Sus scrofa: one gene and its partner. The protein of the gene in region 2 purifies or fractionates together with the protein of the main gene of each other region. This does not show direct contact. Links are inferred from orthologs where the notes say so. Each region holds a gene or a part of one and is shown on either strand. Other genes may lie near its edges.

Region 1 (5,015 bases), on a different chromosome or scaffold from region 2:
CTTTAGAACCACAGAAGCTCACCAGGAGACCCCCGAGGCCGGATGAAAGGAATGCAGGCCCTGCACACACCCTGATTCTTATCACAAACTTGCCCTGAGCCACTGCCATAAAATTCACTGAAACCTCTGTGGGTGGGGACACACTGTTTTGGGGGCATCAGCAGCGGTGTCCCCTCATCTGGCAAAGCAATAAAGCTATTCTTTTCTTCTTCACCCAAAACTTGGACATGGAGATTCGCGGGGGAGGGTTTTGGCAACATTATTCTTGATCCGGCTCCATCGATTCTCAGATTATAGCACCAGCCTCCCCCCAGGCTTCCTTCCTCCTGCCCTCACTCCCTGCAGTCAGCCCCTGAGAAAGATCCTGTTAAAACAGAAGTGGAGGAGTCCCCGTCATGGCTCAGTGGTTAACGAATCTGACTGGGAACCATGAGGTTGCGGGTTCGAACCCTGGTCCCAGCTGGTTGAGGATCCAGCACTGCCATAAGCCGTGGCGTAGGCTGCAGATGTGGCTCGGATCCCCCGTTGCTGTGGCTCTGGCATAGGCTGGAGGCTACAGATCCTATTAGAGCCCTAGCCTGGGAACCTCTATATGCCGCAGGGTGTGGCCCTAAAAACACAAAAAAACCCAAAACAAAACCAAAACAGAAGTTGAGGAGCTCCCATTGTGGCTCAGAGCATTAAGAACCCGACATCCTGTCTGTGAGGATGTGGGTTCTATCCCTCACTCAGTGGGGTAAGGAACCGGTGCTGCCATGGCTGTGGCATAGGCTGGCAGCTGCAGCTCTGATTCCATCCCCAGCCCAGGAGCTTCTATATGCCCTCAGGTGTGGCCCTCAAAAGGAAATAGATAAGTAAATACATGAAGATAGAGGGTGAAGAGTCACGCCTGTGTTCAGGAAGCGCAGACTAGAGGCTGGATGGACACTGGGTCTGACATTCACCCTCAGGAGCCGAGGCGGCCTGAGGAACTCACCGGACTCACAGACCACAGAGCCAGGCCGAAGCTCCAGCATCATGGTGAGCAGGGCGATGTCAGTGGAGTAGAGGATCTGCGTCCGGTGCGGCAGGTTCAGCGTCCAGAGCTCGGGCGTCGGGTGCAGCACATACACCCAGCCACCACGGCCGCAGGTCACCTTGGAGCCAAACGGGCGGCCAATGAGGTCTACCGAGTGTCGCAGGACGCCGTGCCGGGTCTGGGTCTGGGCCCCACGCTGTACACGTACGGCCACCATTGCACCATGGCCCAGCGACAGGATGGCTGTGTCACCCTCTTTGATCAGCTCCTCGTACGCCACAAAGCTCATGGTTGCTGTCTGGCAAGTGCCAGGGACCTGTTAGGTGTGTGGACATGAACATGTAAGGCGACAGGAGGCAGGATGTGTACCTTAAGTCCCCGCAGAAGACGGTGAGGCCCAGCTCCTGAGCAGTGCGGGTGGAGTAGCTGTCTCAGCCTCTGGCACAGTCCATTAGGGCAGCCCAAAAGGGCTGCACCCTGGCCTGACGATTGAAGCCCTTCTTGGTCTGGGCATGAGACAAAAGCCATCAGCCCAAATCACAGACGGAGAGACTGAGGCCTGGCACTGGCAGAGAAGAGGCCCAAGGATTCCCACAAAGAAACGACTTGACCCTTGGAGCTCTCTTTTGTTTTTTCCATTTTCGGTTGCCCCGTGGCGCATGGAGTTCCCAGGCCAGGGCTCAGATCTGAGCCACAGTTGTGACCTAAGCTGCAGCTGCAGCAATGCCAAATCCCTAACTGACTGTACTGCGCTGGGGATCGAACCAAGGGTCCCAGGCTCCCAAGACACCACGCATCCTCTTGCATCACAGCAGGAACTCCTTGGAGTTCTCTTGTGTTGCAGTGAGTTAAGGATCTGGCAGTTGTCTCTGCAGGACTTGGGTCACTACCGTGGCACTGGTTCCAACCCTTGCCAAGGAACTTTTACGCGCCATGGGCACAGGAAAAAAAAAGGACTTGGTCCTCTGGAGTCACCCTTCTCCAGGAGCCGAGTTCCCATTGCCCAGCTGTGAAACCAGAGAGTATCTAGGGGGAAGCAGCAAATGGCCCTTGATGTCACCTCCAGGCCAGGCTCGATGCCGCAGATTCCCATGGCGGGCATCTGGGCAGACGAGTGGCACAGCGGTGCAAGCATAGGTTGGGGATGTGCAGCGGGACGGAAACAGAACACTGGCCTGGCCAGGGCAGAGGCAGGCGGAGGGTCAGGCCAGGCTGGCACGGCGCTGAGGGCGGCCAGGGGAGGCTGCCCGGGAGCCGTGGGCGCCGCGCCCGCCAGGGCGACCCCCCCACCCGCGCACTGCCAGCGTAGCCCTGGGGAGTCTCACCGGCGACGTTCCTCGGGTTGAGACTCCCGGAGGCGCTACACGTGGCTCCGCGCCGCGGCTACAGCCCTTCCGGCTCCGGCCCGGCGCGCGGCGCCCGCTGACGACGTCACGGCCCCGCCCCTCGCGCGCGGGCTCCCGGGACCCGCGGGCCCCCCTTGCCGCCGTCCGGGGCGCACCTCCCAGAGTTTCTCCAGCGTTTCTAGCTGCTCCTGCGGAAGACAAACGGGAAGTCCCACTGTCCCGCCGCCGAGCTGCTGCGGTCCTTTCAGATCCGGGCAGGGTCCCCTTCGCAGCCTTGGACAGCCCTGGAGTCCCCGAAGGGCCGGCCCACCGCTAGCTGCGCAAGCCCCTAGCGGGACGCTTGGCCATGGCCGTTTTGTCCCTGCAAACCGCCCTGGGGACACCTCTTAATGGCTCCCAGGATATATTCCAGAAAATGGGATCGCAGATCAGAGGGTCGTCCAGAAGGCTTTGGCCGGGCTCAGCCAGAGGAGTAGGAAGGAGATGGTGGCCTTGAAGGGGCTGCGGAGGTGCAGTTGGCGTTCCTCCCCTTCGGGGCACATTCTCCAAGTGCAGAAGCTGCTTCAAGAAGGGAAGGAGTTCTGTGTCCCCACGGTGCAATGAGCGCTGGATGAACTGGGCTTACCTTGGGATCAGAACAGGGCAGGGGGGGAGCGGGGGAGGCGGGGGCGGGGGTGGGGTTGGAGTGTGGTGGCTGGAGAGGTGGGGCAGAAAAGGGAAGCGGCGGCCGGGTTCTGTCTCAGCAGTGCTGATTCAGAGCCGGTTCCTCTGTGGAGAGTGTGCAGAGGCCGATCCCGCAGCACTCTGGTCCCTGCGGGCCAGGGCTTATCCTGTTAGCCTTGAGGACTAGAGAAGGATAGAGACTGCAGCCCACTCAGCTGCTGTGGGGCCTGAGCCCTAACCGAGGGCCAGCTAGCAATGACGCTAGGCCACACTTCTTGGCCCAGGCCACTCCATCCTGGATAAATGGGAGTGGCCAGGCCCTGCCCACTTGTGGAGCCCTCTGAACTCTCCCCCTCTGGGGCCAGGACTGATAAGGGTGTTTGTGGACCTCAGAGTCCATGGCAAAGACCCAAGTGCGTCGTTTCAGCCCCTCTGTGCCCCAGCCCTGACTTGGGCCTGGGTCTTGGGCAAGACAATGAGGAGCCTTTGATGACCTCCATTCTCTGCGAGGCCAGTGCTCTGCCCACCAGCTGCCTGCGTGGATGCATCATGTCCTGCACTGAGACAACCCAACTCTAGGGCTTGCCAGCCTTTGTTCCATGTGACTCTGCTCCCGCCTGAATCAGCCCCTAATTACGCCCCTGGGAGATCTCAACTTTCCACTTGGTGTGGGGGTTCCTCTTCTCCAGCCTCTTGCTTCTCAGAGGCTAAATGCCTGAGAGCCTAAATTAGGACTCAGTGACTTGGTGACTCGCCAGTGGTTTCCTGTGGTCCCAGCTTCCCACTTGCCTCTCCTTCCGTGACTGGCAGGCCTGTTCCTCCATTGCTCTCTCCTCCAGGCAGCCCTCCGAGGGCTCCATCTCCCCAATCTGAGCCTACCCCTGGCCTCAGCCTGAGTCGACCTGAGCACCTTACTCAGGACAGCATTTGTGTATAAGGGGCCCCTAAAAAGAACTAAGGCTCCAGTTGTCTTTTGGCGCAACGGGCTAAGGATCTGTCATTGTCACTGCAGGGGCTCGGGGCACTGATGTGGCTTAGGTTTGACCTCTGGCCCAGGAACTTCCGCTATGTCATACACATGACCAGGGAAAAAAATAAAAAGAACCAATGCTAGGAGTTTCCGTCGTGGCGCAGTGGTTAACAAATCCGACTAGGAACCATGAGGTGGCGGGTTCGATCCCTGCCCTTGCTCAGTGGGTTAAGGATCCGGCGTTGCCGTGAGCTGTGGTGTAGGTTGCAGATGTGGCTCGGATCCCGCGTTGTTGTGGCTCTGGCGTAGGCCAGTGGCTACGGCTCCAATTCAACCCCTAGCCTGGGAACCTCCATATGCCGCGGGAGCGGCCCAAGAAATGGCAAAAAGACAAAAAAAAAAAAAGAACCAATGCTATATAAGCCCAATTAAGTGTCATCACCTTGAATCCTCCTCACAAGCCTCTGAGGGTGGGACCACCTCACAGATGGGGAGCATGAGATTCAGGGAGGTCAAGAAACTTGTCTAAGGTCACGCAGCCAAAGTGGCCAGCGTGGGCTTGGGATTTAAAGCCAGCAAACTTGGCTTCGGAGAACCAGTGGTGGATCTGAAGAAATGTGGGAACAGGCAGGAAGAAGGCCCTGGAGGGAAGGGAGAGGCTGAGGATGCTGACAGAGGGAGGCTGCTCCGCTCCTGCGTCTCAGGCAGTGATCAGGTGACCCAAGGTCCCTCTACTCTGAACAGCTCAGCCTTCTGCCCCAACATGCTCTGTGACCACAAGGCAGTCCCTGCCCCTTTCTGACCCCAACCAGCTTCCCCTGTGCGTTGTGCGGAATTCAGGGGCAGGGCACCTGCAGGACGCAATGGCCCTGGGCTGCGCGCTGAGGAGACAGACCCTGAGGAGGCCATCCTGTGCCCTCCCACCCGGCTCGCCCCCGCCTGCCCAGGTCTGTGTCTGCCCCGCTCAGCGGACCATTCCTGTGGATGAAAGGCCGGAACTCCTTTGAGGCTCCCCACC
Region 2 (4,398 bases):
TGAGCTATGGTGCAGGTTGCAGACGTGGTTCAGATCTGGCATTGCTGTGACTGTGGTGTAGGCCAGTAGCTGCAGCTCCGATTCAACCCCTAGCCTGGGAACTTCCATGTGCCGAAGGTGCAGCCCTAAAAAACAAAAAGCAAAAATTCTTATCTTTGGAGTTCCTGCTGTGGCTCAGCAGGTTAAGAAGCCGACTAGTATTCTTGAGAATGTGGTTTCCATCCTTGGCCTCGCTCAATGGGTTAAGGATCTATCATGGCCACAAGCTGTGGTATAGGTCACAGATGTGGCTTGAATCTGGTATGGCTGTGGTTGTGGCTGGCAGCTACAGCTCCAATTCAACCGCTAGCCTGGTAATTTCCATATACTGTAGATGCGGCCCTAAAAAAAAACATCTTATCTTCAAAAGAGTCAGAGAAAGGGCAGACAAATCAGGCTATATGGTACTCTTTCAGGACAAAATACTTCCGTAATTTTCTTCCCACCCAAACCCTTCAATATGGGTTAAAAAAAAAAAAAAAAAAAATGAATACCAGCTGTCTTAGAGTTTACTAAATAGAGGTACTAGTCAGAAACAGGCTCAGAACCATCCCCACCGATACAGAAGCTGGAAAGGACACTGTGTTGCCAACACAGCTCAGGCTGGGAGATGTGGAAAGTGTAGAAAGTCTCAGAGTCTGGAGCTGTGCAGGCACAGCCAAATCGTTTCACTAACTTCTCATTAACAGCAACTCAACCTCGCTTTCCATGACTTTGAATTTAAGACCCCTCTACTCAAATCACAGTGGGGTTTTAACGAACTTGAAAACATTAAATCTCACCTCCCATGCGTTCCATCATCGCACCCAGCACCAAGCCTGCGCATGTTTCCATCACAATCATTTTATTGCCAGCACGGATATTTCCCAATGTCAACATCTGGGCTAGTGTATCGTATCTCATGTGGCTAAGGAAAAAAGGAGGATTTATTCATTTTTAGGTAAGCAAAGGCTGCTCTTTTAATCATCATTTTTCAAGTTTGGTTTGCTTGTTTCATAAAAATTATGTTGTTAAGATTACTGATTGCTTTGGAGCAATAGGAAAACAGGACTTACAATTTATGAAGTAGGAGGACACTTTATGCAGATGAGCAAGATTTTCATTTTACTTAAAATCATGACTTTCTTAAAGACATATTTTCCCCCAACTATAGTTTTGAAAGGAAACAAAGCGTACTTAATTTTTCCAGGTTCTCTTGCATAATACATAACTGAAAGAATGCGGGTGGATGGCTTCACAATAGTAATCATGGCTTCATATCTGGGGGAAGAAAAAACGGCATCAATTTTGAAAAGCTGCTTTAAAAACAATTTATTTTTTAATGATATATTTTATAAACCTATAGGAAGATTTCATATTTTCATCCTTTCAAAACAAAAACTACTTACTTCTTTTTCTTCTTTTTTATATATTTATCTTGAGCAAACTCTGTCTTGTCTCGGAATGTTGTACTATTTTCAATTAATTGTTGAACTATTTCCTATGAGAAAGGGAGCAAGTAGATTTCCTGAAATTTTATTTTCACAGCACAGGTAACTTCAAAGGTTTCTTACCCCAGACTGTATCCAAAGGTCTGAATCTCCAGGCCCTTTTCCACAGAAGTCCAAGTGGATGAACTTTATATTTTTATACTCTATCTAGAATTTGTATTAAAATATAAGTAGTTCATAATTCCATATAAATCCAAGTAAAACAGAGATACACAATAAAGGGAGAAAGAGGTAAAGGAAATTGTCAGTCCTGAAAACACTGGCTGAAAACATTACTGAAAATGAACAAAGTTAAGCTCTGATAAGTTATCAAATTCCCTTTTGTTAATAATATTAATAAGTCATTTTCATTTATATTCCCACCTGTAAGAAACAAAATCTTTGTTACACTGAATTGCATTTACATTCCAAGCTATTTTTAACAGAAATGTACAGTATTTTTACATTTTACCTTAGGAAAAGTGTGCTTTAAAAACCAGGCAATTTCCTGAAAACCAAATCCAAACGAAACAAAAAGTCCTTTGAATTTTACCTCTCCTTTAATGCCTTTGTCCTTTAAAGCTTTTATGTCATCTTGAGTAAGTTTCTGAGATTTCCCGTCATCGATTATATTTCGATTATCAGTGCCTGCTTCTTTGGTCTCTAAGGAAGAAAATTGCTCTGTAACACATATGATCTAAAATTACTTAAAAATCTTTCTTCCTCTACATTCATATCCACATCCAGCCCATCAGCCACTTAAATTTGGCCTTCCAGTTGTGCCCCCACCCCAATCCACTACCTTTCTTGACATGACCACTCTAAGCCTCTCATATTCCTTTTCCCACTCTTGCCCCTTTACAATCCATCTGGACATCAAAGTTCTCTCTCTCTTTTTTAAACACGTGGCCGCTACCGTGGCACATGGAAGTTCCTAGGCAGGGATCGAACTAGGGCCCTTGCAGAGACAACTCAATGCAATAGTGAGTAGTTACATTATGAGCCACAGGGAAAGTTCCAGAGTCCTCTTCTTAAAATGCAAATCGGTGCATCTATTCCAATGCACAAAACCACACAGTGGCTTCCTAGAGCAATTCAAATACATTCCAAAGATGACTTGCAAGCTTGTATATGATCTGGCCCCTGGCTACTTTTTCAGGCCTTATTTCTTAACCCCTGTATTCAGCCACACTGCCCTTCTTTCTATTCCTTAGACGCACCAGCATGGTCCCAATGTAGGGCTTTGGCACTTGCTGTTCCCTCTGCCTAGAGGGCGCTTATGACAAGTGGGTGGATCCTATCCATCACTCAGCTCTGACCTCACCATCTCAGCCAAATCTCACCTCATTCAACCAGCCCTCAGTACACCTCCCTGCTTTATCATCTTCATAGCACACATGACCATCTGACATTACGCTGTTTGCTAATCTACTTGATTACTTTTGATGTTCCCCACTGCTAGGTAAATTTTATGGGATGGTCCATCTCATGAACTGCTAACATCACAGTGGCTAGTCATGCCTGGAATATATTTGGTGCTTAAGAAAAATATGCATGTTAATTTTAAAGTATTTAATAAACTGGCTTGAATTGGAACTTCAATAGTACTCCAACTATTTAAATGTAATAATTGTTTTAAAAATTTTAAGTACACTTATTTTAATAAGTGTTTAAGGGTTTAATTTTAATTAATGATAGCTAAAATTACAGGGCTGTTACTTTAACAGGCAAGGCACTGTTAAGCACTTCCTATGTGGGAGTTCCTATTGTGGCTCAGCGGGTTAGGACCTTGACTTGTATCCATGATGATGCAGGTTCAATCCCTGGCCTTGCTCAGTGGGTTAAGGATCTGGCATTGCCTCAAGCTGTGGTGTAGGTTGCAGATGTAGCTCAGATCTAGCATTGCTGTGGTTGTGGCGGAGGCTGGCAGCTGCAGGTACTATTTGACCTGGAAACTTCCATATGCCACAGGTGTGGCTGCAAAAAGAAAAAAAAAAAAGTTTTAAAACAAGAACTTCCTATGTGTACATGTGATTTTAACGCTCATTACAGGTTGGGCATTAGATGTGTTTATGGCCCTATTTTAAAGATGAGCAATTTGAATACATTCCAAAGATGAACCTGAGAAACCAAATAACTAGCTCAAGGTTACAAAGGCAAGTGATGAAGATGGAACTTAAACCTAGTCAATTGAATTCAAAGCCAGACATCTTATCCTTCGCCCTATGTGCCAACTACCTCACAAGCTGTTCTTCTAGGCACTGAAAGGGCTATATATCTGCTCTTACACTGAAGCTGCAAAGACTCAAGGGAGTAAATGCCTGGCCCAAAGTTCAAGAGCTGATTAATGGTGGGAAGGAGCCAGAACCCAGGTATCTCAAAGGTATCTAAAAAATTAGCCAAAGGCTAAATCAGTAATTCACTCTACCAAGCTGCAGTTCTTAGATGATGGGTTTAGATTTCTTTGGGGAGATCATGGCTAGCAATTTAGAACCAAATGGGGTTGATAGACTTCTGAGTAGCCAGCTCAAAAGATCATCAGTTTCATACATCTTAAGTGGTATAGTGCACCTGAAGTAGGCTCTTCCTTCTTCTTCTTCGGCTGAAGAATTCCTCCGTTGGTCACTTCAAATGTGGTTCCATAATTATGGCCTATAACGTTATCCAGATAGAACCACTGTTTTTCAAAAGTTACTTTTCTGGGGAAGAAATGCAGTCAATTAGCTGAATCTCATTTGCATTCAGTATTGGAAAGATATGTTTAATCTAGTTTATTTTAAAATTGGTTTCCACAAAGGAAGATCAGCAACATTATCTCTAACCATAAACCAAAAAACAAACTAGAGAAAATTGAGTTGGGGCAGAGACATAAAATTAACAAAGAAGCCAC

Evidence for each region. The genes of interacting proteins can lie anywhere in the genome.
Region 1: the proteins of TRMT6 (region 2) and TRMT61A purify together in Homo sapiens (affinity purification with mass spectrometry; 4 studies listed by BioGRID and IntAct, counting the BioPlex papers as one, with this or other methods). This does not show direct contact. The link is inferred for Sus scrofa from reciprocal best matches to the Homo sapiens genes TRMT6 and TRMT61A.

The regions. Positions count from the first base shown.
Region 1 is NW_018084979.1:2,076,928-2,081,942, reverse strand, and holds the start of TRMT61A (tRNA (adenine(58)-N(1))-methyltransferase catalytic subunit TRMT61A), read right to left. Parts: upstream 3,002-5,015; 5' UTR 2,520-3,001; exon of another isoform or gene 2,344-2,519; intron 1,335-2,343; 5' UTR 1,308-1,334; coding exon 977-1,307; intron 1-976. UniProt on the Homo sapiens protein: Catalytic subunit of tRNA (adenine-N(1)-)-methyltransferase, which catalyzes the formation of N(1)-methyladenine at position 58 (m1A58) in initiator methionyl-tRNA.
Region 2 is NC_010459.5:14,783,391-14,787,788, forward strand, and holds part of TRMT6 (tRNA (adenine(58)-N(1))-methyltransferase non-catalytic subunit TRM6), read right to left. Parts: intron 4,208-4,398; coding exon 4,080-4,207; intron 2,190-4,079; coding exon 2,062-2,189; intron 1,520-2,061; coding exon 1,428-1,519; intron 1,300-1,427; coding exon 1,216-1,299; exon of another isoform or gene 1,095-1,215; intron 947-1,094; coding exon 822-946; intron 1-821. UniProt on the Homo sapiens protein: Substrate-binding subunit of tRNA (adenine-N(1)-)-methyltransferase, which catalyzes the formation of N(1)-methyladenine at position 58 (m1A58) in initiator methionyl-tRNA.